Linked DNA regions of Tamandua tetradactyla. The protein of the gene in region 1 purifies or fractionates together with the protein of each later gene. This does not show direct contact. Links are inferred from orthologs where the notes say so. Each region holds a gene or a part of one and is shown on either strand. Other genes may lie near its edges. The genes, in order: HDAC6, PKM, DNAJA1 and TUBB4B.

What was found.
Region 2: the proteins of HDAC6 (region 1) and PKM purify together in Homo sapiens (affinity purification with mass spectrometry, with the first as the bait; 4 studies listed by BioGRID). This does not show direct contact. The link is inferred for Tamandua tetradactyla from reciprocal best matches to the Homo sapiens genes HDAC6 and PKM.
Region 3: the proteins of HDAC6 (region 1) and DNAJA1 purify together in Homo sapiens (affinity purification with mass spectrometry; 4 studies listed by BioGRID and IntAct, with this or other methods). This does not show direct contact. The link is inferred for Tamandua tetradactyla from reciprocal best matches to the Homo sapiens genes HDAC6 and DNAJA1.
Region 4: the proteins of HDAC6 (region 1) and TUBB4B purify together in Homo sapiens (affinity purification with mass spectrometry, with the first as the bait; 4 studies listed by BioGRID). This does not show direct contact. The link is inferred for Tamandua tetradactyla from reciprocal best matches to the Homo sapiens genes HDAC6 and TUBB4B.

What each region holds. Positions count from the first base shown.
Region 1 is NC_135353.1:121,434,219-121,441,494, reverse strand, and holds the start of HDAC6 (protein deacetylase HDAC6), read left to right. Parts: upstream 1-4,258; 5' UTR 4,259-4,364; intron 4,365-4,388; exon of another isoform or gene 4,389-4,519; intron 4,520-4,570; exon of another isoform or gene 4,571-4,727; intron 4,728-4,796; exon of another isoform or gene 4,797-4,914; intron 4,915-4,931; exon of another isoform or gene 4,932-5,024; intron 5,025-5,413; 5' UTR 5,414-5,442; coding exon 5,443-5,538; intron 5,539-5,622; coding exon 5,623-5,751; intron 5,752-5,893; coding exon 5,894-5,982; intron 5,983-7,276.
Region 2 is NC_135338.1:70,093,292-70,101,095, forward strand, and holds the start of PKM (pyruvate kinase PKM), read left to right. Parts: upstream 1-4,792; 5' UTR 4,793-4,871; coding exon 4,872-4,921; intron 4,922-7,804. UniProt on the Homo sapiens protein: Catalyzes the final rate-limiting step of glycolysis by mediating the transfer of a phosphoryl group from phosphoenolpyruvate (PEP) to ADP, generating ATP.
Region 3 is NC_135328.1:62,870,956-62,878,066, reverse strand, and holds the start of DNAJA1 (dnaJ homolog subfamily A member 1), read left to right. Parts: upstream 1-4,103; 5' UTR 4,104-4,253; intron 4,254-4,709; exon of another isoform or gene 4,710-5,146; intron 5,147-5,398; 5' UTR 5,399-5,408; coding exon 5,409-5,540; intron 5,541-5,695; coding exon 5,696-5,873; intron 5,874-7,111.
Region 4 is NC_135328.1:130,711,604-130,719,005, reverse strand, and holds TUBB4B (tubulin beta-4B chain), read left to right. Parts: upstream 1-4,448; 5' UTR 4,449-4,588; coding exon 4,589-4,645; intron 4,646-4,944; coding exon 4,945-5,053; intron 5,054-5,126; coding exon 5,127-5,237; intron 5,238-5,660; coding exon 5,661-6,721; 3' UTR 6,722-6,876; downstream 6,877-7,402. Other genes in the region: CIMIP2A (ciliary microtubule inner protein 2A), read right to left, coding at 6,877-7,016, 7,384-7,402. UniProt on the Homo sapiens protein: Tubulin is the major constituent of microtubules, a cylinder consisting of laterally associated linear protofilaments composed of alpha- and beta-tubulin heterodimers.

The DNA.
Region 1 (7,276 bases):
AGGAACCCAGCTCTGATTCGAATATAGAAACTCTTGCATTCATAATGTACAGGAACCCCTGACCCCATTCTACACAATCCCTGACCTCACGCCCTACACCATCAGGTCTACAGGAATCCATAATCCAACTCTCAGTATGAGCCTCAGTCTCAAACCTGTAGAAAATTATTTCCTGACGCTGTGGCTGGGACCCCTGTTCTGACTCTCTACCCTCACGGAGCCCCCTGTGACCTCAACTGGTACCAGACTTCCTGCCCAGACATTATACAGGTACTGTTTACTGATGCTTTATGGGGCTCCCTGTCCTTACACCATGTAGGAACACTTTTCCTTCCCCTATGTTAGATTTACCTCCCTGACCCTCTGCAGGAACCCTTTCCTTACAACCACTCAGGAACTTCTGATCTGACTCTCTGTAGAAAACCTTTTCCTGAACCTCAAGAGAAATCCTTTACTTTAGTCATTTATGGGAACCTCTGATCTAATCCTTTATTGGAACTCTTGACCTTACTCTCTGGAAACATAGTCCTGACACTGAACAGGAAGCCCTGATCTGACTTTCCATAATAACCCTTATGCTGGCCTTGTCCCAGAAGTCCTGTCTTCACCTTGTATAAGAACCACTGTCCTGGGCGGGCCATGGTGGCTCAGCAGGCAGAGTTCTTGCCTGCCATGGCGGAGACCCGGGTTTGATTCCCGGTGCCTGCCCATGTGAAAAAAAAAATAAAAAGAACCACTGTCCTGCTGCAAAAGAAGAACACTCACCTGAATCTCTGAAGGAAACAGTGTCCTTCCTAACTGTACAGGATTTCTGTCCTGACCCTGCACAGGACTACCCTCCATGACTCTCAGCAGGAACCTGTGTCTTGAGTTGCTACAGAAAACCCTACATTTACTCAACAGGAACCTTTGATCTAACTCTTCACAGGAATCCAAGAAATGAACCAATACAAATATACCTACTCTCTATAGGAACCCCTGTTCTGAAATTGTTAAACAACCAATAGCCTGAATTTCCATGAACATCTGTCTCAAGTCTGCAGGAGAACCCCAGGCCTAACCCTCAACATGATTATCTGATCCACCGCTCTCTCTACAGGAACCCAATCCTGACCATCCTGAGCATGTTGTGATCCTATAGAAAGTAACTTTCCTGGCCTCCAAAGGAGCATCTAATCTTTACCTGTTCAGGGAGAAAAGTGCCCTTCACATCCTTCCCTCTCACGCCACAATGTCTCCAACTAGCATCTTTTCCTATAAACCTGCCTTGCATTGTAATAGAATCATTTTCCATATCCCAGACAGGAAACACTAACTGGACTCTGTAGAGAAACCCATATCCCTGCTCAGTACAAGAACGCCTGTCCCAATACTTTAAACATAATTTTCTATAGCGGTGTTGTCCGACAGAAATATAATGAGAGTCACGTGTCATTTTAAATGTTCATGCAGCCACATTTTTTAAAAAAGGAAAAGAAACAGGTGAAATTAATTTTAATGGTGTATTTTACTTTACCCATTTGCTTTAGTTTGTTAAAACTGCCAGAATGCAATATACCAGGAATGGGTTGGTTTTTATAATGGAAATTTATTAGTTTACAAATATACAGTTCTAAGGCCATGAAAATGTCCCAATTAAGGCATCAATAGGACAATATCTTATCTGAAGAAAAGCTGATGGCATCCGGGGTTCCTCTGACACATGGGAAGGGGCATGGCAATGTCTGCTGATCCTTCTCTCCCAGCTTCTGGCTTCAGTGTGGCTCCCTCAGCTCCTGTGGGCCCTTCTTGCTTCTCCCGGGGCATTTTCTCTCTCTAAACTCTCTCGGCTCTGAGGTCTCTCCAAAATGTCTCTGGGTTTTTCTCTGCATCCTCTCATAAAGGACTCCAGAAAGGGGATTAAGACTCACCTTGAATTGGGTGGGCCGCATCTCCATGGAAATAACCTGATCAAAAGATCCCACCCCAACAGGTCTGCATCCACAAGAATGGATTAAAAGAACATGACATTTTCTAGGGTACAGAACAGTTTCAAACCAGCACCACATTATATACAAATATTCAATATTTGTATTTTACAAATACAAATTTGTAAATTTTTAAATTTACAAATTTGTAAAATTACAAATACAAATTTGTAACTTTGTAAATTTGGTATTTTACACTTATAACCCATTCCAATTAGGGCGAGCCACATTTCAAGGGTTAATTAGCCACATGTGGCTAGTACCTACCATATTGGACAGTGGAGCTCTATGGAGTCAATAGAATCTTGGAGTAGACTCTGCCATGGGTTCATCAAAGCCTGTTCCCTTTCTTCCTGAGCCTACTCTATCTTTTCCAACCTCCCTTGCAACCTCTGCCAGATGGGACACAAGCTGAATTCTGGCCAACAGAACATGTGCCAAAGTGATACATACCACTTCTCCTGGCTCATAAAAACTTCCCTGGCAGACCTCCACTCTCCCTTTCCTTCCCCACCTACTGGCTGAAGAGAAAAAAATCTCCAAGGACCTAGAGGAGAGTACAGCCACAAAATGGAGGTCTCCTGGTCCATGAATGATCCACTAGTCATTTGTTAAGCCCCTGAGATTCTGGGTTGGTTTGTTATAGCAGCTAGCATAATTTATTTTAATGAATAACAGTCTCTTGACCTGAATCTAGGCATGATCATATGATCTTACTATCTATATGATCACAAGTACTGAACCTGTTCAGAAAAACCTGTCCTAACCCTGATCTGTTTGTAGGAACCTGCCATAATTCAGTCTAAGGAGCCCCATCCTGAACTTGGACAGGTTCCCCTAGTCTGGAGCTCTCTAGGAACACCTTTCTTGTGCTGTATAGAAACCCCTGCTTGATCCAGTAGAGGAACAGAAAGTTCAGGAACCTCTGTGCACTCCCCTATCAAGGGACATTTGCTTGACACAGTAGAGAAAGGTCAGGAGTGACCTGATCCTATCCAAGAGTCCCTGTCCTCACATCTCACACAAAAGGAATACCTCTCCTCATGCAGCCTGGAACCCCTGCTTTCATCCTTGAAAAGAATCCTAGCCAGGTAATGAAAACCAAAGAATGACACTCTACAGCAAGTATTGAAAAACTATTGTCAGCCAGCCAAGCCCAGCCCACTGCCTGTTTTTACCTTCTGAAAGGGGTGTGAAAAAGAGAAGAAAACAAAATTATGCCACAGAGACTTCAAGCAGCTTACAAATCCTAAAATATTTGCCTTCCTGCCCTTTATCGAAAGTTTGCTGACCCCTGTTCTACAGGAATTAATCTCCTGACTATACAGAACTATAGGCCTTGACCTTTTACAAGACTCCCTGCTTTGCAGACATCACAATCCCAGAATGTCCCCCAGTGTGTATCACTTCATATGTGTTTCTTTGGTGTATGTGGAGGTTTAAAGGTCTTAAGTCTGTGGCCTTCTTCCACTTGGAGAAAAGACAGCAGGAAAAGAGTGAAAAGGAAGAGGGGGCTGGAACTGGGAACCTCAAAGGAGTCAGAAGGCCCGGCTACTGGGCAGTGAGGTTGTCAATCTGCTTATTAGTCAGCGATGCTGAACCCCAGACCGCTTATCTCTCCCGCCCCAGCCTGCGGCCGGGTAGGAAATGGTAGAGAATGAGAGAGGGAGATTAGGAAAGACAAACCGGCCTCCCCGCGGGGCAGATATTTAGACAGGGGTGGGGGTGGAGGTACGGGAGCCCGAGGCCGGCACACTCACACTTTCCCATGCAACTTGGGAGCAGAGGTTATCCGGTGGAGGGGGCAGATAGGGAGACCAGCCAGCCGTGAAAAACTCCTGGTCCATTCTGGCCCTGGGCACTATTATTATTATCACAATTTTCCAGATGAGGAAACTGAAGCACAGAGACATTCGGAACTTGACCAAGGTCACATGGCTAATCGAAGAACCTGCTTCCTTATCTGCAAAGTAGCGTTAACAATGGGAAATCCCTCATAGAGTCGTGGCTAACAACATCTGGCACATAATACTTGCTATCTTCACAGCTGCTGGGGCCCCTCTTCCCCATCACCCATTTGTCACAGCAGACTATTAACAGCTAACGTTCGGTGAGTGTTCCACGTGTGCCACCTTAGCCAAAGCATGAAACACTGAATAAACCACCACATTTATTGTTACCATCATTCCTATTTTTGGCCTCCACCAGCCATCATCCCGCCTCAACCTCACTCGCCGGCGCCAACCCGCCCGCGTTACGTCATCACCCGGCGCCGCGCGGGAAGCGGCGGGGCGGTGTGAACACGCCCCTTCCCAACTCCTTCCTTCTCTTGCTCGCCCTCTCCCTGTCTTGAATCGTCGCAGGGCACGGTTGCCGCGGGTCCGAAGGGCTCCCAAGGTGACGGGGTAGGGGCGGAGGAGCACGGCCGTGGCAGCTCGGACGACCGCAACGATAGCTGGGGGAAAGTACAGCTTAAGCTTAAATCCCGTATTGAACAACTGGCGCCTCATGCTGACGCGCCGGCCAGCCGCCCGTTTCTGAAGTAGCGGGAGGTGTGCCCGACGCGAGGGGTGGGGCCTCGCGGAAAGGAGGGTGCCCGGTGTGGGTGGGATCTGGGCTGGCGGTCGAGAAAGCGTGCCCAATGGAGAGGAAGGGCTCGGGCACCGGGTGCTCCGCAGGCCGCTGGGAGCTTGGCGGCACGAGCAAGAGGCGGAGTCTGAGAAAGGGGCTGCGCTCTGTGAGCGGAACCCAGAGATTGGTGTATGTGGGCCTCGGGGGCGGAGACTGGCGGGAGGTGGCTCGGGACTGGCCGAAGCGGCTTGGGTGAAACAGGGAGTAGGGTCTGGGCGGGGGTGGGATCTGTGGAAAGAAAGAAGCCGTCCCTTGAGGGGGCGCGGTTTATTGAAACGTTAGGGGCGGGATCTGGCAGAAGGGCAAGTGCGGCCCGGTAAGGGGTGGAGTTAAGTGCTTCGCTCAGGGTGGAGTCGGGGCAGGGGCTGGGTCTGGCTAAGTGAGAGGGGTGGGTGACTATCCCAGGAGATAGGCGGGAAAGGGCAGGTATGTGAATGCAGCCTGGAATTCCCCTGGAATCTGGACTAGGTTTAGAGGAATGAAAGGGTCTGGGGATGAGCCTTGGTGGAGCGGAAGGGGCGATGACTAACTGGGAAGCGCAGGCCCTAGAACAGACTGAGCCTGGGGCTTTAGGACTCTGTGAAAGGACCAGGCTTTGAAAGGAGTAAGAAAATAGTGTCAAAGGGGTGGAGTCTAGTGGAAAGGGCGGGACCAGGTGGAAGGGAAACCCCAGTGAAGGGAGGGAGTCTTACGAGAGGCGGAGTTTAGAAGGCATGGATGGAGTATAGTATATGGGGTGGGGCCTGAGAAGGGGGCAGGAATGTGGGGGTCCTCAGGCACTTCCAGCCCCCTCACAGTCACCTCCACTCCCCCAGTACCGCAGCAGGTCGCAGTCTCCCCGACCATGACTTCCATCGGCCAGGATTCCACCAGGCAGCGAAGGAATAGGCACAATCCCCACTCGCCCCCCCACGTCTCCGACTCCAGCGTCACCACTGCGGTGAGGCCTCAGACCTGCTCTGATGAGGGGGAGGGGGAGCAGCGGGCCGTCCCCTGGACTCTGACCCTTCTCTCTGCCCGGCAGAAGCGAGGTGTTAAAAAGGGTGCTGGACCCCGCTCCAGCCCCAGTCTAGCGGAGGTAAAGAAGAAAGGCAGAATGAAGAAGCTCAGCCCAACAGCCGAGCAAGACCTAATCATGGGGCTGCAAGGGCTGGTGAGAGGGACCTGGACTCGGTTTGGCCTCCCATAGCAACCAAAAGCCTGAGACCTTGAGGTTCTCCATCCTGGACCATACAGGATGACCCCTCTGACTCAGGCCCTAAATGGATCTGTCTCTCCCATTTTTTTCCCTGCAGGATCTGGACCTTGAGGCCAGGGCACTGTCTGGCACCGGCTTGGTGTTTGATGAGCAGCTAAATGAATTCCATTGCCTCTGGGATGACAGGTGAGGCTGGGTCCTCTAGGCCATCCCGCACCACACACATCCACCCACTTTGAGCCATCAGGAAGAGCAAATCATTTCTTATGCCAGCCTAGGAACTGTGGAAGCTGATTGATTTAGGAACACGTGACTCAGGCTTGAAAGGGTTCTTATCGTTTAGCCAGCAAGCAATTGTTGAGCACCTCCTTTGTGCCACCGATTAGTGATACAAATGTGGAAAACACAGACAGGAATCCCCTCTCCCAAAGCTGATAGGTGAGTAGGAGAGCAGACCATTAAACAGCCACACAGCAGTATGAAGTGTGTAATGAAGGAGAACTTAAGTCCAGGGGACTCAAGGGTGTTTAAGATATGGCCCTAAGTTAGCATCCCCATTTCCCCAGAAGGCTTCTTGAGGAAAGGGGATTTGTGCTGAAACTGAAGAATTACACTCACATTGGCCCTATTTTTCACATTTGTTGTAATCCATCACCAAATTCGTGTAGCTCTACATTGAAATTATATTCAGTATCTGACCTCTCTTCACCACCCCCACTGCACTCAGCATCACTATTCACCTGGAATGTTGCAGAGGTCTCCTCATTTCCCCCCTCCCCCCTTCCACACCTATCCCTACAGTCTGTTCCCCACACAGCAGCCTAAAAAAAATGTGTATCGTATGACATTCTCTTTCTTAAAATCCTTCAAGCAAAGACTGCTGCCCGTAAGGTAAAGTCCAAATTCTTCATTCTTTCATGTGATCTGGCCCTGCCGTACTTCTGTGGTCTCATCACTCCACCCTCCCTCCTCAGTCACCTTGCCTTACCCATACTGGTCCTCTTGCTGTTCTTCAAAGCTGCCAGGAACTCTCTCACCTCAGGTCTTTACCCTGACTGATCCCTTTTCAGGAGATAGGTTTCTGCCTTCGTCTCTAGCAGCTAATGTGTATTTATCATTCACATCCCAAGGAGACTTTCTCACAAATGTCTTTTCCTGCCCCAGTCTCTAACACGCCTGGTCTTAGAGATCTTCATAGCCCATGTCATTGTTAATTACTATATTTATGTGTTTGTTTACCAGTTAGTATCTATCCTAACATAAGACTCATTATGGCAAAAACTGTGTCTGCCTTTTATTTATTGAATAAATCTTTAGCATCTATGGAGGAGTTAGGGATACTAAAGTAAGCAGAACAAACAGAAATCCCTTTCTCATGGAGGTTACATCTTAGAGGGGGAAGACAGTAAACAACAACAACAAACCCCCAATAAACTATATAGTATGTTAGAAAGAGAAGTGATGTGGAGAAGAATAAGGT
Region 2 (7,804 bases), on another chromosome or scaffold:
AAGCTGAGTTACTTGGATCCAGAATGATGTTCTGACACTGATCACAAGGACTACCCTCCAGGACTAGTCCTACAGAAAGAGAATACCTATTGAGCACTGTGTTAGACTCATTCACGTACATCATATCAAACATCAACCTATGAAGCAGGATTTGTTCTCAACTTTTTAATTTTTTTTGCATGAGCAGGTACCAGTAATCGAATCCAAGTCTCCGGCATGGCAGGCCAGAACTCTGCCTGCTGAGCCAACCGTGCCTGCCCTCTCAACTTTCTGTTAAGGAACTGGACTCTTATATATTAAATTGCAGGACATGGTCATAGAACTAGTGAGTGAAACTGGTACTAAAATATGGAACCCAAACTCTTCAATATTATACTGCTTCTCAGCAGAAAAATGACTTTGATCTCCTTAAACTCATTGCAGCAGTATTTCACTATGCATCTAATGTGAGCAAAGATATGCTAAGTCTCTGTTAAGAGTGTTACGGCAGCATTTTCATAACGGGTGATCAAAATCTGTACTGAAGGACAACAGTTTGCCACTGGATTTCCAGTTTAATACAGGTGCATATAATCCCGGGAACATATCTATATTTAGAACTTTAAACTTATATTGCACATATTCCAGCATTGCATTTTCCAGATCACTTGCACACTAGTGTTGCCCAGCACTGTAGTTCATCCTCAGCTCAGGGGTCACATAGGGCCATTTATGCCATCCCCCTTTCTCTGGATAGGGAGGAAACTGACTCCCTGGTAGGGCTTGATATTTTTTTCTCTCAACAACTACATGTCCTTTCACAGTTTAATAACTAAGCATTTACTTTCTGTTGACAACCAAAGGAATGAGAAAAGGCTTACAAAAGAAATAAATAGAAAAAAATTTATCTAAAAAAATTTAAGCTGCCACTTTCTTCTCCCCAGCTTATCTGAGCTAACAGGAAAGCAGAATAAAGTCCTGTGATTCAGCTGCAGGCACAGTGCCTGCTTGAGCAGGTTACACCCATTGGTCTTATTTTCTAGGAAAACGAAAGAAGGAGCCTAAGAGAACAGATCCACTATTTTGAATGGGGAAACATATCTACTCTCAGAGGTTGGCTGAATGAAGGCAAAAGTTGACAGCTGTTTCATTGATAACAGTGTTCTCATCACTGGTTATTGGCTAAAAACTGGGGAATTGGAAAATGTCTTCTAAAAAACTGAAGAAAAGCTCCAACAATACTGATTTAAATAGACAAGGTTGAAAATGGAAATGCGGACCCCTGCATACATTATCAACTTTAATGATATTCCTTAATAGCTCTGCCCTAATATTAATGTTTTACATTCGCTTTTTACTCTCAAGCACTCGTTCTGCAAGATTCCAGCCCCCTATAAATGTATTCTCAGGGCCTCAACCAGTCCTTCCTTGTTCCGGGATCCTAGGATAATAAATAGACTTAAAGACAAATGAGCATTGGGCTCCCTCTCCCCGCCCCCCTTAGCTCCCCTCCCAGCCCCGTAGTGCCTGAGTCGCCTATGAAGGGGGCCTGGGCCGCCTACCATCCCATGTGTCTCCATTCCCCCTTCTGGTCCCGTCTTGGGCGCCACACCTCCTGTTCGGCTGTTCTACGAGGTGTGTGCTGGGACAGGCATCCAGAAGGGTGGGGAGTACTCAGCATGGAGCTGGGAGAACACCGTTCGTGGACTTAGAAATTTGAGAACTGACCGATAGCCCAGGGCAGCTGGGTTGACTGGGTTGGGAGCTGAGAAAAGAGACCCAGTCCCGCAGCCCAAGTTGGCGGCAACAGGTGTCCGGGGCGCCTGGGGGTCCGGGAGGGAGGTCTTCGGGGTTCCGAGGGCGGGTCCTGCTACCTCGCCGCTTGCCCATTGGCTTTTACAGTCTGTCAATGAGGTAATTTTTAATCATGTGTCCTTCCGCTGCGGAATGTAGTTCTCCCCAAAAAGGCAACCTGAAGGCGCGTTCCGCTTGGGCTGCACTTCTTACTGAAGGTGACTGAACCGAGCGAGAACGCGGAGGGGCGGGTCCAGGGTGCGGAGAGCCAGGATTGGGTGAAGGGCGGGACCGCGGAGGGAGTGCAGCGGCTCTGCAGCCGTGATAACCTTGAGGCTGAGGCGTCTGATTCCCGCAAAGGAGCGTCGCGTCTAGAGCTCCGCTTACCCGACATTTGCAGCGCAGTTTGAGCAACACCATCCGGAGGTGAGCGGCGGGGAAGGCTGGGCGGTTCAGGCGCGACCCGCTGGACTTCGGGTGGTGCGGAATCCTAGCCCGCCTTTCCCTCAGGTCACCCCTCCAGGGGTGGTTCAGGATCCTGAGCATCTTGGACCGGCCTGGGGTGAGAGGAGAAAGGCTGCTTGCGCCTACGGCCTGCTCTTCAGAAAGCCTTAGCTCTCTTTCCTTTCTCAGATATGTCAGCCAGCCCCTGTCATTCCTCAGTCCCACCCCTCTTCTGGTTTCATCCTCTCCCTCCTCAATCTGGTTCCATCTTCGCCTTTCTTCTTTTATTCCCTCCTAATCTGATGTCTTCCTCGCCTTCCTGTTCTCCCCCATCCCCCACTGTGTTCCCCTGCTCACCCTCCTACCCTTCCGCCTTAGTACAAGACCCATTCCTCCCCCTCGTGTTCAGCTTGTCCATGTCCCCATCATTTCGATGCTTTCCTTGTAAACGCTCCTCTAAATTCCCCTTTATGTCCCATCTCTGTTCCGCCTCCATTCGGGTTCCGTCGGCCCTTCCCGCGTCCTTGCCCCCTCATGTCTACCCCTTCCCACATTCATGTGCTCACTCCCGCTCCTCCCCCTCTCACCCCCTCCCTCATTCATGCCCTGGTCCCCGCCCTTTCCCGTCCATTTTGGTCGCGTCCACGCCCCCTCCGTTCTGGTCACGTCCGCTCTCCTCTTCCAGGTCCCCCATCTCAGTTTTGTCCTTCTTCATCCTGGCTTCCCAGACCGTCAGGAGAAAACGGCCTGTGGTCTTGGCGGGAGGCAGTGGGTCACCGCCCGAAGTGTACTGGTCGCCCGGCTGAGTCAACTGTGCAGCCTAAGGGATGCCAGGCTCCCTGGAGGGGATGAGGCGGCGGCCCGGGGCACAGGATTGTGTAACCCTAGGCCCTCCTCGCAGCAGGGGAAGAAGTGATGGTTCCTCCTGTGGCAAGTTCCTGTTTCTTCCCCGGATTCCATGAGGCGGGGGGGCGGGGGGGGCGGGTGCTGCAAGAAGTCTGCGCTGCCCCGGTGGGGGTGGGGCGCGTCGCGCGGCTCCATCTCGCCGCGGTGAGGCTGCACGTAGCGGTCCTGTGCCCGGGACCTGTCCCGCCAGATGGCTGGCCCTGCGGGGCAGTTACCAGCCAGACCTAACCGCCCAGCCGAGAAGCTGCTGGATGCTTTCCCGTGGTCTCCTCGCATTTTAGTCACTCACGGAGTTCCTTGTGTCTGCTGACGTTTATTAGCAAATGCTCCCTGACTGTAGAATGGAGAGGCCACGGGGTGGAGGGAGCAGGTTAAGCGAGAGGAGAGGGGAATCTGAAGAGCTCGAAGCCACGTGTTGCGTACCCTCCGTAAAACTCCTGTGCCAAAGCCAGTTTTGGGGAGTAGGGGTGATATACAAGAGGAAATCGGGATGCCCACAGCGGTTACAGCTCCCAGAGTTCACAATCCAAATAGAGGATATGTATTTTATTACGGTAAGTGCTATGAGGAAGCCACTAGCCTCGTGCTGGGGACAGAGCGGCAGGATGCCCACAAGGTGGCAGCCACACTGGATTTGAAGAAGCAAGGAAATCACCTTGTAGTTTGAAGGTTATTGAGAAACACAGTTATAGAAAGGCATCCCTTGACTTCTTATATAATCTTCTCCAAACCTAGAACATTGCTGTTTCCTGCCTCCAACCCCATGTATGTAAAATGAGCCCAGAAGTTTCAGTAACAATGGGCAGAGGCATGGGTGAGTTGTGGAGAAGAAAACAGACTTTAGAATCAGGTTGACTTCACAACATACTGAGATGACTGAGCGAATTCAGCCTCTGGACGTAGGTTTCCTATATGTAAATGGGAGCAATATTATCTGTATAATTGTTGAAAGGATGGGTTTCTGCACACACCTACTGATGTATATGTAAGTAAAGACACAGTGCAGTGTCTAGCATCTAGAAGGTACTGCACAAATGGCAGTTGATAAAATCTCATCTCTCCTGAGATGTCCAGGAGAAATGCCTTCAAATTCATTTATTATTTTGGTCACTGAGCACAGTTGCTTAATTCATAGTAGACCATGAGGGCCTGAACTTCTCAATTTGTCTCTCTACCATCCCTAAGCACATACAGTTACTCTTCCAGTCAGGATCTTTAAATGCCAGAAATCTGAAACCAGTCCCCTGAGGAATTCATGTACATTGTTTACAAAGTAACTAATAATATTACTTTGCAAACCTCCACTGGCAACCTGGGCTCTTTGGTCTCATGAGATCTCTGGTCTTCTAAGCCAGCTGATGAAAGGAAGGCAGGGAGAGGAATAATTTCAGGCTTTGGTGTTTGGTTGTAAGAGTAGAAACAAACTTGCAACACCAAGACTGAAATCTTCAGATACCAATCCTTGCAGGTTTCCAGGTGAGATTCAGGGACTTAGTTCTGTACTGGTAGGTATGAAGCTAGGAATCAAGGCAGGGATAGCTACCTCCAGTTGGCAGTGCTGAGGGTGTGGCCACTCCCTAGGGTACAGAGGAGGGACCTGGATCAGGACTTCCTCTGCAGCAGCATTGTTACCAAATAATTTGCCTCCTGGTTGCGTGAAGGTGCTGTTGGTAATACATTATGCTGTTCTGAGGGGAAGGGTATGTAACCCATCACCAGGTGGGTGAGTGGGAGGCTGTGGGCGGAAGATGACTCAACCTTTCAACTTAGCTGCTTTTGAAAGAATTCTCCTTATCGGGTGAGTGGGGAAACTGCATTGCAGTACTTGGAGGCTTGAGAAGTCCCCTCCCTTTTCAGTAGTCAAATAATGAAGCATGCGTTTTTGCCAAATAAAAATGTCTCAACTAAATGAAAAATTATTGGGTCAAATTCTCAGGCTCTGTACTGCCTTAAGAGCTTAGGTGCAGTAGCAGAGCCCTGTGTCCAGGTGAGGCAGTCTATCTGTCTGCATTCCTGAGCCTTTTCTGTGGTGGGCATAGCAGCCTCTCAGTGGGTTATCCTTTGAGCACAGGGGCTGAAGTGGACATGATATTACTTGATTTTTAATTTATTTTGTTTCAGCTTTTATGGAGGCAAGTGAGGATGCATTGTCTTGGCAATAGCTAAGACTGGGGATCAAGGTAGAGGAAAATGATGCATTTGACGTCATTGGTATTTCATAATCACTCCAAGTGTCCACAGTTAAATCCCAACCACAAGAATGAGTTGTCCTGTGAGCAGTTTTATTACAACCTTGTTGAAGATCTTTGTGAAGTACATATTTGGTAAAAAAAAAAATCTTATGGGACCTTGAGTCATCACTTTAAGCATCAGTTGTGGTATATAAGGAATAGTGCTGTGTGACTAAATGTAAGAAATGTACCTTTCTTAATACCACTGTGCTTTTGGGGAGCTTGCGTTTTTTCTCCAAGAGCCAGACTAGACTGGCTAATTGATTAGTTTGATAATTTGGGGCTTCGTTAAAGCATTTTAGGAGAAGATGAGCAGCACGGGTGGTAAATAGTGGGATGCAGCCTCTGCAAGACGTTTTGGCCTGGTTCAGCTGTTCAGCTAAGGGATCACAGGGGGGTTGCCAAGGGGTGCATTCCCACGCCTGCAATGGTATGTGTCTGGCTGCACGTAGGAGGGACAGCCAGGCTGCAGTACCTCTGGTGGCCACTGAGACTCCCTCCACCAATGTTCCCTTTACCCCCACCCCCACCCTGGCCATGTCCTTAGGCAAAGCTCCTGGAAAGCTCTAAGCCTTTCATTAACTGACCCCAGCAAGCTGTGTTTGAAAGCCAGTCAGAGGCTGGGGAGGGAGTGGGGTGGGCTGCCAATACCAGCTGTTGTAGGGCAGCGAGATTGTTGCTCATAGCTGCTAGCTAAATATGCAGTCAAAATATTATTTGAATGGAGCCCATCCTGAACACCTTTCATCAACATCCAGATACTTTTTCAACTTTAAACAACTGGTGTCTCTAGAGATGACTCCAAAAGAATTACCTGGTCAGCTGAGTAACAGCGATGACATATAGCCATTCCCCATTTTGGAAGAGACCAGGAATTTTGAGTTAAGAGGTAGGGAGGTAGGTGTACGTACTAGTAAACTTTCTAAACAAAACTATCCCAATATCCCACTTTTGTTACTACGTTAGAGAGCAGACTAACAAATGATCATCCATTGGGTTGGCAAACATTTTTGGGGGGAAGGGTACATGGTTTGGGAATTGAACCCAGGTCTCCCGCATGTAAGGTGAGCATTCTACCACTGAACCACTTGTGCACCCTGGCAGACATTTTAAATGCCTGACAATATCAAATGTTGGCAGAGGTGAAGGAAAGCAGGATTGATAAAACTGCATTAGAAAGCAATTTGGCAATAAATAGTAACAGAATAAACATATTCTATCATCCAGTGATTCCATTTCTAGATAAAACTCATAAATACACAAGAATACATGTACTTAAAGAGTTTTCATAATATTGATTGATATAGGGAAATTGTATTAATGGTGGGGGTGGTGATGGTTACCAGTAGGGTGACACATAAAAAATGGACTAGATATACAGTGGACTAGTAAGGAAGTTAAAATGAATTAATTAGATCTATATGCCAGACTAGAAGGATCGTAAATGTAGTGCTGAGTATAAAAAGCAAATGATGACCCAAAAAAAGGATATATACAGTATATATTTTAGACTAATTTTTTAAGAACACAACAATACCATAGTATAAATATAGATACACTGTATATAGACTCAGAACTAGAAGGAGACAAAATTCATGGCAATGGCTGGGTGGCAAAATTCATGATGGCATGTAGGAAGGTTGGTTTGAGGATGGAGAAAAACTGAACTGATTATTTGTATTTCGTATTATTTTAAAAAAATCTACAAGAAAATATGGATGAATTTTGTGGTCTGTTCTGGGTAGTAGAAATATGGATATTAATTTGTTTCTTTTATTTATTTTAAAACAAAATAAGAAGTAGTTCTATGAAGGTCAATGTCAGAAGACGAGTCATACAGTCATACTAACTAGGTCAGTACAGGCACTACCCAACCCCTGCTCCCCTCCACTGATTGAGGTCAGCTCCTCTAAATTCTGAGCCAGTGCCTCCCCTTGTTGAGGCATTCACCTGCCCTGCTTGCATCTGACTTTGGAGGGAGGGCCCTTGTTGCTTCTAGAATGGGTATTATGCCCAAGTGGCAGCTGAGGAACTCTGCCCAGTTTTTTAAGCCTAGGCTTAAACATAGCAAAGCATAATAAAAGTTTCACTCAAACTTTCCTCCTTCAAGGTGAAATCAATTCTCAAACTTTCAGGATCGAACCAGGAAATCCTAGGTATCCAAGGACATAGGAATTTCTCTAGTTTGCTGAAGTTTAGTTGTCCATTTGGGGCTAGACCCATTTATTATTGGTTTTTGTTCTTTATTTCACACTCTAGTTTGAAACCGGGCCTTAGACACCTGCTGAGATTCAGGTTGCTTAGTTCTAGTGCTGAAGAAGTAAAGAGGCGCAAGGGAATTTTATTTGAGCCTACAAGTGAACTCATTTTGTTTGTTTTTACAGCTCAAGACTTTAATGTGTAGTGAAAGATGAACACAGGCATTCTCCAAAGGAGGAGAAGCCAGCTCA
Region 3 (7,111 bases), on another chromosome or scaffold:
AGACACCTCTCAGAAGAGGAAATACAAATGGCCAAAAGGCACATGAAGAGATGCTCAATGTCCCTGGCCATTAGAGAAATGCAAATCAAAACCACAATGAGATATCATCTCACACCCACCAGAATAGCCATTATCAACAAAACAAAAAATGACAAGTGCTGGAGAGGATGCGGAGAAAGAGGCACACTTATTCACTGTTGGTGGGAATGTCAAATGGTGCAACCGCTGTGGAAGGCAGTTTGGTGATTCCTCAACAAGCTGAATATAGAATTGCCATACGACCCAGCAATACCATTGCTAGGTATCTACTCAGAGGACTTAAGGGCAAAGACACAAACGGACATTTGCACACCAATGTTTATAGCAGCATTATTTACAATTGCAAAGAGATGGAAACAGCCAAAATGTCCATCAACAGACAAGTGGCTAAACAAACTGTGGTATATACATACGATGGAATATTATGCAGCTTTAAGACAGAATAAACTTATGAATCATGTAATAACATGGATGGACCTAGAGAACATTATGCTGAGTGAGACTAGCCAAAAACCAAAAGACAAATACTGTATGGTCCCACTGATGTGAACCGACATTCGAGAATAAACTTGGAATATGTCATTGGTAACAGAGACCAGCACGAGTTAGAAACAGGGTAAGATAATGGGTAATTGGAGCTGAAGGGATACAGACTGTGCAACAGGACTAGATACAAAAACTCAAAAATGGACAGCACAATACTACCTAATTGTAATGTAATTATGTTAAAACACTGAATGAAGCTGCATCTGAGCTATAGTTTTTTTTGTTTGTGTGTTTTTTTATATACACTTTTTGTATTTTTTATTTTTATTTTTTTCTCTATATTATCATTTTATTTCTTTTTCTGTTGTCTTACTATTTCTTTTTCTAAATTGATGCAAATGTACTAAGAAATGATGATCATACATCTATGTGATATATTAAGAATTACTGATTGCATATGTAGAATGGAATGATTTCTAAATGTTGTGTTAGTTAATCTTTTTTTAATTAATAAAAAAACAATAAGGTATCATTTTTATCTCTAAAGCTGGCAAAGATTAAAAATAATAATAAAAGAACCCTCCATGTTGGCAAGGCCCACTCACACTGCTGGGGGCAGTACAGACTGATAGAACTTATATGGAAAGTTATTACGATTTTGAATCTGTACTCACTTTGACCCAGAAGTTTCAATTCTAAGTGTTCCTCCTACAGAAATAGATACATGAGTACCCAAAGATCTACTTGAGAACTCTCCTCTGTAGCACCGCTTGTAAAATGTTGTAAAAATAAAATTATTCATCAACAGGGGAACAGTTAAATGAATTATGGTCCTGCATACTACATACTATGAAATCATCGAAAATAGGAAGGTAGATATTTATCATGATATGCATGGTAACATAGCAGCAAATTTAGCAAAAAGGGCAAGGTACAAACACTATGCTATATATGATCCCATTTCTACAAAAAAATCACATAAACTTATCGCTGTTTTGGGTATTTTATGTAAATAAAAATGCTTCTTAAAAGCATTAACTTCTAAAGAAAAAAAAAGTGTCAAAACTTCTACTATTAAGGTGCCAGATTATTCGCCAGAATGTATTTTTCGAGATAGGTTCTATCAAGGAAAAACTGTCAAACGAACATATGTAAGGGTGGCTTTTAAGGCAACTATGACCTAACTTTGCTGTTGGGGTTACAAGTTACTAGCTCAAAGCTTGAATTGAGAGGGAAGAATTTTATACTTTTTTAAGCTGAGTTTTTAGTAAGTACTACATTCTTGTGGGTTAAAAATTCAAAAGCTTAAAAAAAGATACATTGTGAAATGCCTCTCTCATCTGTCCCCTCCCCCCAGTCCCTTTCTCCACAGCTCTCCCCATAGGCAACCATACAAGTTACTGTGTATCTTCAGAAGTAGTCTATGCATACACAAGCAATATATTTTTCATTAACCAACTTTTATGCCCATTATTTATTCACTTACTATATGAGCTTGCACATTTTAAAACTATCTTCAACATCACGTTTCACTGCGCCAAGTAGTTATCTTCATGTTTGTATCACATTTGCAGTTCTCAAACTTGTGGGTTTCTGAAGCAGAAACACTAAACATAGTAGTAGTCATTGTGGAAACTCTTGGTTGAAGTCATTTGATATATACCATACTGATGTTTACTTCATTTGCTTAATCAATATTAACATCATAAATGCATAACTTAAATTACAGTAAAGTAGGAACTCCAGGACTAAAACTCTTATGTAACACAAGAACAATATATTTAGTTATGGCTTATTTATTGTTCATGTCCATGCATGCCTTCACATCTGCTGGTTTCTGCTTGGCAAACCTAATTGTATGGTAAACAGTTCCCCAAATCGGCACCAAAATATTTTTTTTTCCAAGAATGGATTAATAGAACACTGTCTTTTCTGGTACCCCAAATATTCTTAATATATTATGTCTCTGGTTCCCTCACTACGTGGTGAGCTCCTTGAGGGCAGATACCATGACTTAGAAAATCGTTATATTGCACGCCGTAGCAATTACCGTCTGGCAATATTAGGCTTTAAATTAAGTGTGGGTTACACTTCATAAGTTATATGTAACACTGGAAAATTTAAGTGTTTAACAGGCAAAGCAAAATCACGCGGACTTGAAAAACTGCATTTGAGAAACTACAGACAGCTTGGTTGAAAGGTATCCCGTTTAAATCAATGAGGGCAATAAGGCTGAAGGGCAGGGTCATGCTTCCGAGTGAAGTTCAAAATTCTTAGCTTGGCAAGATATATCAAAGCATGGAGATATTTCCCAACGACCTGACTCCTCACCTCCAGCCACTCCGGCAGCCTTAGCTCTGGCTGTATTCAATTACTTACAATTTCCTAAAAACATCATACTTTCCCACACCTCTCAACCTTTTCTGTTTTATCCTTTCCTAGGAATGCTCTTCTCCCTTTTCAAAACTCCCTATAACCGTCATTTTCCCCAAAACGCTTTACTTTCCCCAATCAATCTAACGCTAGAAACTCTCCCCTCCTGACCACTATCTTGCCGTTCTGGTTTAGTTCAAAGGCTTCCCCTCTAAGTCCAAGAGATATGGCCCATGCTTTCTCAATTTTGCTGCTTCTTTGGTGCTAAATAGTCGTCATAAATTTAATGTATTACATTCAGGAAAATGGACACCGTTTTCCATTATGCTTCCTTCCCAACATTTGAATACCCAACGTTTCACTTCATAGACTCTAGATCCAAGTTCACAGAATGCTGGGACTTAAAAGTCACGTAAAACAATTTTTCACAGCTAGCCACTCTTAGCGCTACCGTGTCCCCGACTCGCCCAACCAGGAGGGATCCCTCGCCAGGGAAGGAGCTATGGTTCTCAGCTTGCACTAAGCAATCCTAAACGTTTCTCTGTTTACCACAATCCCAGACTCCTTGCACTCAATACGAAGGCGACAAAAAGGCTTAAGGCAGATAATGTGCACCTGGAGGCCGAGACATCCACAAAGGGCTCTTCCTCCCTCCCAGTTTGGTGAATTAAGAAGCTCTAGACTGTGTAAAAAAGACCAAATTTCAAGGCCTGAGAAGGGTCTGTGGACTAGGTCCACCTCGCTCAGCATTTCTTGCTCCGCGAGTTCCCAGAACTTCAGGGTCAAGAACTAACACAGTTGAAGGGGAAAGAGGGGGAAAAGGCGACGGTGGGGAGGAGGGGCTGCAGTGCTTTGTTCTGGGAAGTTCCCAATCGGCAGACGGCAGCCGCCTGGCTCCCGAGCCCTCCCCGCCCTATCGAGCAGCCGCAACCGCCCCAATAGTTTCAGATCCCCGAGTTGCATCGGAATTGCACCGCACAGGGCACAATAACCGCGTCCACCCGGGATTTCCGCACCTAGGGCTGCCGAAAGATAATGGCTCCAGAAGCTTCCAAAAGCGTCGAGAACGTGGGTTTGTACCCACCCCCCACACAAGGCCCTTCCGCGCAGCCCCTCCCAGCCCAAGTGCCCCCGCGCCGTTGCCCAGGTAACCGTGGGCGGTGGCAGTGGCCGGGAGGGGCGGGACTTCCGGCGAGTGACGCGCCCCGGCTCGACTACAAAAGACGACGGCTGCGGCGCGCCGGCCGGAACTTTCCAGAACGCTCGGTGAGAGGTGGAGGAGTGGTGGGTGCCTGAGCTGCGCACAGCGACGCGCTCCTTCCCGCTCCCCCTCACCAGCCTCGGCCTGCTCACCGGTGAGTCTCAGCCCTCGCATTTTCCTTCGTCCCCAGGCTGGCACTCTTGAGGCACTGGGGATTCAGGTGGAGCCGCGGTTAGAGGCGGTTAGCTCCGCGTGGGCGGGAGGGTTGTCGGTTCCTGTATCCACGATTCCCCATTCCGGTATCCACGGACTGTACTCCGACAGTCCATCCCCGGTACCCAGTAAGTGGACGTGAGGCCTTCTCTGAGTGCCCCCCCACGCAGCCCCCCCCCCACGCAGCCCCCCCCCCCCACGTAACCATCCCCCAACCAGCCTGAGGTCCCCAGGGAGCCGCCGTCTCCGCCTCCGCTTCCCCTCCGCGCGCGCCCTGGCGCCCCCTCCGCCCGCGCTCGCTCGGAGTGGGCGCCTTTGCGCGCAGGCGCGGGGGGAGGTAGGGGCCAGGGGCTGCGGGAGGGGTGGGGCGGAAGCTGCCGCTTTCGTTTCTTCTCCCTGCCTTCGTTCTTTGTTTAGGCCTGGGCTTCTACCCCCACCTCTTAGATACAGGGTAGGAAGGAGAAAGGAAGGAAACGGCGCCAAGTGAGGGGAGAAACCTGGCGAGATGTAAATACAGTGGTTGACACTGGCTTGTAGGGCAGGAGGGACTCGGCGATGAAAGCGGAGGAGATATAAGCTCCTTGATTGAGAGCTGTCCCTCAGGATGGGAGGGAGGGGCGCTTACTCTCTGAAAGTAATGTTCCTAATGAGTTCCATAAACCACGTTGTCCACCCACCCCCGGTCGAGCCCAGATGTATTTTCTTAGTGTTTGGCGTTCATCGAATTTACTGAAGACAATGATAATGTAATAACCGATGGACTGAATATGGTGGTGTTCTTTGGATGACTGCTGTTTTGTCACCATCTCTGGGGATAGGAAATAAGCAATCCAGGTTAATTGTCGCGTTTTTACAGAGGCTTTCATTTGGGAGAGTGGGAACCAACTGCTAAGACTTGAATTTTTCTCTTAGTTGTTAGTGTGTATGTGGTCTGTTAGAACTCGGGCTGAATTATCATAGGAATCCTTATCTTTACTCTGAAGTTTAAGAAGCTGTGTTATTTTAATCAGATCTTGGCAAAGGACAGGTTTTACTAACTGAAAGTACAAATTGAAAGTCCCTTAAAATTGCATTTTTTAATTTCAGGCTGTAGAAAATGGTGAAAGAAACCACTTACTATGATGTTTTGGGGGTCAAACCCAATGCCACCCAGGAAGAGTTGAAAAAGGCTTACAGGAAACTTGCCTTGAAATACCACCCTGATAAGAATCCAAATGAAGGCGAGAAGGCAAGTAATACATATCCTTAAACTTGTCTGAATAGTTTTTTGCCAGACGTATGAAATATTTTAGGACCTGGAATTGAGAGTGCCTAATATAGTGGCTATGCTTTGTTATACTTTTGTTTAAAAAACACGAAATTTGTTTCCTTTCTTGTAAACAGTTTAAACAGATTTCGCAAGCTTATGAAGTGCTCTCTGATGCCAAGAAAAGAGAATTATATGACAAAGGAGGAGAACAGGCCATTAAAGAGGGTGGAGCAGGAGGGGGTTTTGGCTCCCCTATGGACATCTTTGATATGTTTTTTGGAGGTGGTGGAAGGATGCAGAGAGAAAGGAGAGGTAAGAATAACCTGGTCAATATGCAACAAATTAAAGTAGCCATTGAACAAAGCAAATTCTTGTGACGTCATTTATTCCAGTGCTTTCTAACTTGTTGGTACAAAGTTGCAACTGGCCACAAACTGATTTATAATTTTTGTAAGTGAAGATTTGATGGAACTAAAAATGCTTAAGGTAATTAAGTGGTAATAAATAAGTGCTTCTAGTAAGTTTTAGCTTTTAGACTAAAGCTAAAGTTAATTAAGGGGACAAAGTTTAACAGTATAATTTTCTAAGCCGTTTTTACAGCTCTTTGGTGCAACACAGTGGTGGGTACTGTGGCCTTTTTTTCAATCAAGGGTGAGTTAGTGTTCAGAAACTTGACGTAGTCAAGGTCTTACAGGATTGAAAGATAGCTTCGTCGCCTCCAAGTAACTTAACTGTTGAATCTTGCACCACTTTTACCAAACTATACGTTTATAGCATTGAACAGAAATGTGGTTGTGTACTGTAAAACTACAGTATTCTGGTCAAGAGAAATTGCTCTGACTTTGTTCTCAGTATAGTTAGTACAAACAGGGTTTAATGGTTAGAAGCCAGTTTCAGAACAAACTAGCAAGCATTAAATTTCACTGTTGAGATTTTACCGTTCAAAAAGACTTTGGAAGTTGTTGGTTTACTCAGTCCTCACAAAGGTCTTCAAGGAAACAAATATGTTTTTATTTGCTCATTTTGTAGAAATTTACTATAAAAAGAAAATCTACAATCCAAATTAGTTGCTTTATTAGTAAATTATTAGGATTGATTTTTTGTTTTTTTAGTAACAACTATTCGTAAATTCCTATATGGCTTAGATCAATAAGAAGCCAACATATTAGACCAGAAAATAGTGTGCTTCATCAAACTTTAGAAATTTTATTTTTCCTTCTTTACATTTCCGACTCCGTATAACAAAGTTTAAAGTAAAAAACATAGCTTTTAGCATGCAGAATTAACTTCATGGGACTGTACAATACGGAACCCAGAGGTGCAGTTAGGAGCAGAAGGGTATAGTTCGTGGTATGTGACATGTAGCTGAAACAAACAAAAATGTTCCTTGGGCATGTTATGCAGGAAGAAGTTTCAGAACTTTTTCATTTAGGTGTAAGATAGTACTGTTTGGTGGTGGATAAAGTCCTTGTGGAAGAATCACTAGGCTAGGAACTTATTAACTAACCATTGACAGGTGACTTCATTTCTTTATCCACAGTGTCCTTATA
Region 4 (7,402 bases), on another chromosome or scaffold:
TTTCTGGGGCGCACGCTCAACCCCTCCACATGGTGGCAGCCAGGCTCTCCCAGTCCCCCAAGGAGCGTGCTACGCCTTTTCCAAGGCCCGAGGCTGCACAACTATTCCACTGCAATGAGAGGGGAGACTCATCCTCACCCTTCAGGGTAAACTCACCCTCTCCACACATACAGGTGGGTCCACTCTCCTGGCCGAGGTTTCTTGGCTTCAGACCCGAACTTCCACGGTTCTCACTCTGCAAACTCCAATCTCTCCCTTTTGTGTCCTTTGTCAAGATTGGCGGTGGTTCCATTTACACCAACAGTCTCTTCAAGCCCTCCAAGACTTCTCCATCAATCTCTTCACAGTTCCTCCAAAGTCTTCCCCTTAGCCATCCAAAACACCGTTCAAACATATCTGGCATTTGCAAACCGCAGCAGTACCCCACTCTCCGGTACCAAATCTGTTCTGGTTTGCTAGCTGCCGGAATGCAACACACCAGAGACAGATTGGCTTTTAATAAAAGGGGATTTATTTTGTTGGTTCTTCAGAGGAAAGGCAGCTAACTTTCCACTGAGGTTCTTTCTTACGTGGAAGGCACAGGATGGTCTCTGCTGGTCTTCTCTCCAGGCCCCTGGGTTCCAACAACTTTGCCCGGGGTGATTTCTTTCTCCATCTCCAAGGGCCCGAGCTGAGCTGCAAGTGCTGAGATGAGGAATGCCAAGCTGCTAGACTGTGCTACATTGCGTTCTCTCATTTAAGCACAAGCCAATTAAGTTAAACATCACTCATTGCAGCAGACACGTCTCCTAGCCGACTGCGGATATAATTAGCAACAGATGAGATTCACCTACAATTGGCTCATGTCCACAGCAACAGAACTAGGTGCTTTCACCTGGCCAAGTTGACAACTGAATCTAACTACCACACCATATTGTGGCAGTTTGCAATATTTAGCTGAAATTTGCCTAAGAGTAACCTCCAGAATGACCTCTTGACTTGATTTTAAATCTCTTAGCCATTGAAACTCTATTTCTTTTCCCCCTTTTGGTCAGTTCTTCCATGATATCAGGGCCCGGTGCATCCTTGGAACTTATGTCTCACAATGGCAGGGCCAGTTACGTTTCATGCTGCCAGTTCCAGGCTTACACCCCTGGAAATTATGTCCCGCGTTGGGGGGGAAGTTCCGTGTTTGGCTTAGAGAGAGACCACATTTGAGCAACTGTAGAGATTTTCTGGAGACGGCTCTTAGGCACTAATTCTAAGTAGGTTCAGTTTATCACTACAGAAATAAGTTTCATAAGGGCAAGCCTCAAAATTGAGGCTTTGGCTTATTAAATTGGGAGCCTCTGTTGCTTAAAAAAAAATGCCAGGAATTCCCCAGGTGGGGAAGCTTTATAGTTCTATCTTTCCCAGGCCTCCAGGAGTCTTTCTAATGTCCCGGTTTGTTTATAGTAATTACAAAACTAAGGTTTTAAATCTTTTTTTTAATTAAATAATTTTTAAATTGACATATAAGAAAACAACATACAAACACAAACTTTCTTAACATACAAACATTCCATACATGGTGTATAATCAGTGCCTCACAATGTCATCGTACATTCATTACCATGATCATTTTTTAGAATACTTGCACCACTCCAGAAAAAGAAATAAAAAGAAAAAACTCATACATACCATACCCCTTACCTCTCCCTCCCATTGACCACTAGCACTTCCATCTATGTTTTAACCTCTGTTATCCCTATTTTTTTTTCTATACCCCTTAAGGTTTTGAATCTTACCATTCACACAGCTTTTTTCTCTTTCTACCCTTTTACTTCAGAATTTATACTTTTACATATAAATTTATATATTTATATCATGCACCTAATTATTTCTAAGTAGTTCAAATAGAACTCTTTAATAATTTTCTTATTAATTTGCAATTTCCATCTGGAGGTATGAGAATATACATTGAAAATGAATACAAACAAATAGAAAATTAGTTACACAAAAAACAGAGGCACAGAAATACTTCTGAGAGGGACACATAAAGGATTGAATGTATTATCTCATCCCATTTCTATCTTTTTGCAAAACTAACTGTAATAACTATAATGGCAGTGTTTTCATTTTAAATCATATTGAGGCCAAATTATGTAACAGAAATAAAACCTTTTTTATAGACTCATAACCAAAATCTTTTCAATTTCCAATACAGCCCAAAGGTCCCCTTTTTAAAATAATTTCTGTAATAAGTAACCACTTAGGAACATCTGTCCAATACAAATGCAGGAATACATCAATTAATAACTGACTACACCAGCCAACAAACAGGCATTAAACGCTTAACACACCCACTAACAATTAAACAAGCATCAACTCTTACTATACCCAGGTAACACACTGGCTAGTATGTGAGCAGGCTTACTTAACTTCATTAAATACCAATTAATTGTTGGATTACTCATTTTTCAGGAGTATAATCAATAGACAAATTTAGGCAGGGCCTCAAACCCTGTACAGAACACACACCAAATACATCATTAACAGTTAAACAGGCATAAAACTCTTAGCACACCAATTTAACAATTAACCAATACTTAGATAACACGGTGGCTAGCACTTAAACAGGCTCACGTAGTTTCATTAAACACCAGTTAATTGTTGGATTCGGTTAGGGCTTCAGACTTTGTTCAGTAAGGTACCCCAAATCAGAAGGTGTAGGAGCCAGAGCACTGGGGATTGTTCTGGAAGCATGACCCAGGCCTAGGTCAGGGGACTCAAACTGCCTATTTACTCCCCGACCCACACTTACCCTGATGACCCACTCACCCAGTCAGATGTCCAGACCTGGAACTGCAAATGGTTCCTCTCTTTGAAGCTTTCTTGGAGCAGCAAAAGCCTCTGGAGTGCCGGCAGAGCAGAGCAACCCCGGTTGCTGAGCCTTTAGGTTAAATTCAGTCCGGCGGCCGCAAAAGGCTCAGCTCAGCTACCTGGCTTACAGCTGCTCTGCTGGGCCTCCAGAGCTCCGGGCATTCGTCCCTTCATGGTCACCAAATTGTTATGGGAGAACATAACAATTGCCTTCTTCTGCCTGACACGCTCAATAACCAATTCCTGAGAATTCCTGAGAAACCAGGGTTTCGAAGAAAGAGTTATTACCACACATAGTAGGAGAGCAGATGGACTAAGGACCCAAAATCTGTCTCTCCTAACTGCAGTAATTCAGGTAGTTCTGTTAGAGAAAAAGTGGGCAGGGTTTAGGATAATAAGCACTATGGCCCCAGATGATGTAATTACAGGTGCTCTAATTATTGAGCATGCGCAGATTGATTACATGCTTAGTCACTAAATGCATGAAAGAAAATGGTGGAATTGGGTACAGGTAACTTGTGGGTTACAGGTCTAAGCTACTGTCAGGTGGGCCCACTTAGGTTAAAGCCAGTTTCAACCATCAAGATCATTTGGAACTTGGGGGTGCATTAGTTCCAGAAAGACCCAAGACCCTTCAGTATCAGCCAGCAAACACTTTCCTTAGTGATTACAAGACTCTAAAGTTGAAAAACTGGACATCTAGGTACAGACGGTTAGTCACAAGGTTTTTACAATCGCAGGCGCTGAAGATAAGGGCTATACAAACAATTAGAGTTCAAGGCAGCTGGGATACAATTTAGAGAGTTCAGGCACTTCCGTGACTACTCCCATATACCAGAAAGTGAAAAGGAACATTTATATAACAATGTAGTAATTAAAATCATCCCTTAAATCCTGATTTCTCGGTTACAGTCTTTCTCCAAGTACAAACCAAGTCCCAGGTCAGGGCAGCGCAGGACCCGCCCGGCCCGTCCACGCCCGTCTCCAGGCGGCCTGTGCGCTCCTGGGGCAGCGGCACCAGGGCGACCGGCGTGGGGCCAGCGCGTCGCCACAACACTGCGTGTGGCTGCCAAGGGCTGGGCCCCGGGCCTCCGCGGACCGCGCGCCCGCCCCCATCCAGGCGGGGGTAGTGGGGGGTGGGACCCCCCCTCCAGGCCGGAGCCCCCTGACCTGAGAGCCCCGCATCCCAGACAGCTGCCAGGGCAGCGCAAGAGAAGCGGGGGCATGCGCAACTCACCCGAGAGCAAAGCCACTGGCCCCCCTCCCCCTCCCTTCCCCCGCCCCCTCCCATCCCTGCCGGAAGCCCGCGCCCGCGCCCCAAGCCCGCGCGCACGCCCACGGCCGCTGCACTGCGGCGGTTACCAAGACGCTAGCCCCTCTCAGCCAATAGAGCCAGCCTGTCGGCCTGTTCCCCGAATCCACCAATGAGAGAACAAATCAATCATTTGAAACACCCAATGGGAAGAGCACTGCGGCGCGAAAGGGGGCATTTTGATAGGAAGAGCAGAAGCCGCGGTTGGCCAATAAAGAGCGAAAGGGGAGGGGAGGGCGGGCCTTAGGCGGCTCGATGGACGGGGTCGCAGCCAATCCAAGCGGGGTTCTTGCCAGCCTCATTCTGGCAGCCCAATACATGGCCGGCGGGGCGGGCACAGCCCCTATATAAGGACTCGCGGAGCGTCGGTTGTAGCAGTCTGCGTGCTCGCTCCCCTATTCTCAAGGCTGTCCTGACGACCGCGCCTCCGCCGCCATGAGAGAGATCGTGCACCTGCAGGCCGGGCAGTGCGGCAACCAGATCGGCGCCAAGGTGGGCGGCCCGGATGCGGGATCCTCTGCGCGGACTCGGGCGAGCGGTTCCGGCTCGGAAAAGATGGCGGCAGCGGGTCGGGCGGGCGGCGTCCCCGCATTGCGGTCTCCGGGTGGCGGGCGGGCGCGGCCTCGAGGAACCCGGCGACGCGGCGGTGGCCGGAGGCGGGGGACGGGGAGCGGGGCGGAGCCCGGAGGGGCTGGGCAGGGCCGGGCCGTCCGTCCCGGGCGGGGTCTCTCCCGCGGCCCGGCCGGCGTGACTCAGCCCTGCGCCCGCCGGCCCGCCCGCGTCTCGCGCAGTTCTGGGAGGTGATCAGCGACGAACATGGCATCGACCCTACGGGCACCTACCACGGCGACAGCGACCTGCAGCTGGAGCGCATCAACGTGTACTACAACGAGGCCACCGGTAGGGACCGCGCCGCGCCCCCGCTCCCGCCCTGTGGCCCCACCCCCGCTGACACCCTCCTTGCCGCCCCCAGGTGGCAAATACGTGCCGCGCGCCGTGCTGGTGGACCTGGAGCCGGGCACCATGGACTCGGTGCGTTCCGGGCCCTTTGGGCAGATTTTTAGGCCCGACAACTTCGTCTTTGGTAAGTAGCCGCCCCAAGGTCATCCCCGCCCGTCCCAGCCGTGTTGACCGCCGCCGCCCTGCACCCCCCTGCCCCGTCACTCAATCCCCTGTCCTCAAGCAATGTGGGGAGGGAGGCCCAGCTGTCCGCTGGGAGGCGGCTGCCGAGGGAATCTCCCCGGGGAGGGAGGGGAGGCTGTGCTGGAGACGCAGCATGGCGCCCTGGGGTATTGGCAGGGGCTGCCTGTGAGGGAGGGACTGGTTTGACTTTGGTCCATTGCCCGACTTGTAACTGCCTTATCAGCTTGGCCTACGTGAGCATGCTTGCAGGATGAGTACTGCCGGTCACCTCACACAGTCACTTGTTGGCCCCTTTGGCACAGCGGGTGGTGACTGGGGGTGCTTGCCTGGCCTGAGAGTGACTGGCTGCTGCCCTCTCTTGTAGGTCAGAGTGGGGCAGGGAACAACTGGGCCAAGGGTCACTACACAGAAGGTGCAGAGCTGGTGGACTCGGTGCTGGATGTTGTGCGCAAGGAGGCCGAGAGCTGTGACTGTTTGCAGGGCTTCCAGCTGACCCACTCCCTGGGTGGGGGGACTGGGTCTGGGATGGGTACCCTCCTTATCAGCAAGATCCGCGAGGAGTACCCTGACCGCATCATGAACACCTTCAGTGTGGTGCCTTCGCCCAAGGTGTCGGACACAGTGGTGGAGCCCTACAATGCCACTCTCTCAGTGCACCAGCTGGTGGAGAACACAGATGAGACCTACTGCATTGACAACGAGGCCCTCTATGACATCTGCTTCCGCACCCTCAAGCTAACCACGCCCACCTACGGGGACCTCAACCACCTGGTGTCAGCTACGATGAGCGGTGTCACCACTTGCCTGCGCTTCCCCGGCCAGCTCAATGCCGACCTGCGCAAGCTGGCTGTCAACATGGTGCCTTTCCCACGCCTGCACTTCTTCATGCCTGGCTTCGCCCCACTGACCAGCCGGGGAAGCCAGCAGTACCGGGCACTGACTGTGCCTGAGCTCACCCAGCAGATGTTTGATGCCAAGAACATGATGGCTGCCTGCGACCCGCGCCACGGCCGCTACCTGACGGTGGCCGCTGTGTTCAGGGGCCGCATGTCCATGAAAGAGGTGGACGAGCAGATGCTGAATGTGCAGAACAAGAACAGCAGCTACTTTGTGGAGTGGATCCCCAACAACGTCAAGACGGCCGTGTGCGACATCCCGCCCCGCGGCCTGAAGATGTCGGCCACCTTCATCGGCAACAGCACGGCCATCCAGGAGCTCTTCAAGCGCATCTCGGAGCAGTTCACGGCCATGTTCCGGCGCAAGGCCTTCCTGCACTGGTACACGGGCGAGGGCATGGACGAGATGGAGTTCACCGAGGCCGAGAGCAACATGAACGACCTGGTGTCCGAGTACCAGCAGTACCAGGACGCCACTGCCGAGGAGGAGGGCGAGTTTGAGGAGGAGGCGGAGGAGGAGGTGGCCTAGAGCCAGAGAATCAATGGCTGGTCAAGTGTGCAAGTGGTGTGAACTCTTTATTCACTCCCACCCCATTCTCTGGTATCCACGTCTCACTGTGCTGTGCACTCTTTTCCTGTCTCAATGTCACCTGCTGTACAGACACCACCACCATTAAAGCATTTTCATAGTGTGTGGTTCCGCCTCTCTCCTTCCTTCTGAAAGGCCTTCCGTGTGCTGTTGCCAAACGTTAGTGCATAGCTGTCCTGCATGGCTGCGGGGAGAGCAAAGCTGCAGCAAGCCCTGGGCTTGGCCATGCTCCCGCCTGGAACAAGCGTGCAAATGGGCTGTGGGTTCGTTGGGGGATCTGCTCCCCTGAGCTCAGATCCTGGGGGTGGAGGGTACCCTGCCTATCTGAAAATGGGCATGGGGGGCTGGCTTAGTTTACAAGCTCAAGAGTCAGGTGTCAGTGGGCCCTGGGGCAGGGATCCTGGTGGGCAGTCCCCCCTGGGGTGGTGCCCTTCAGAGGCAGCTGTGAAGCTATTAGACACCTGTCTCTATGCCAGTGGAGCAGCACCGGTAAGTGGGCCGAGCCTCCAGCCCTTGCTCCTGCTCCCAGCTGCCTGTGCAGGGAATGTAAGGGGAAAGGGGTGTCTGAGAGCCAGCAGCACGTGGGGGTGGGGACTACTCACAGGGGATGAAGCCCATGTA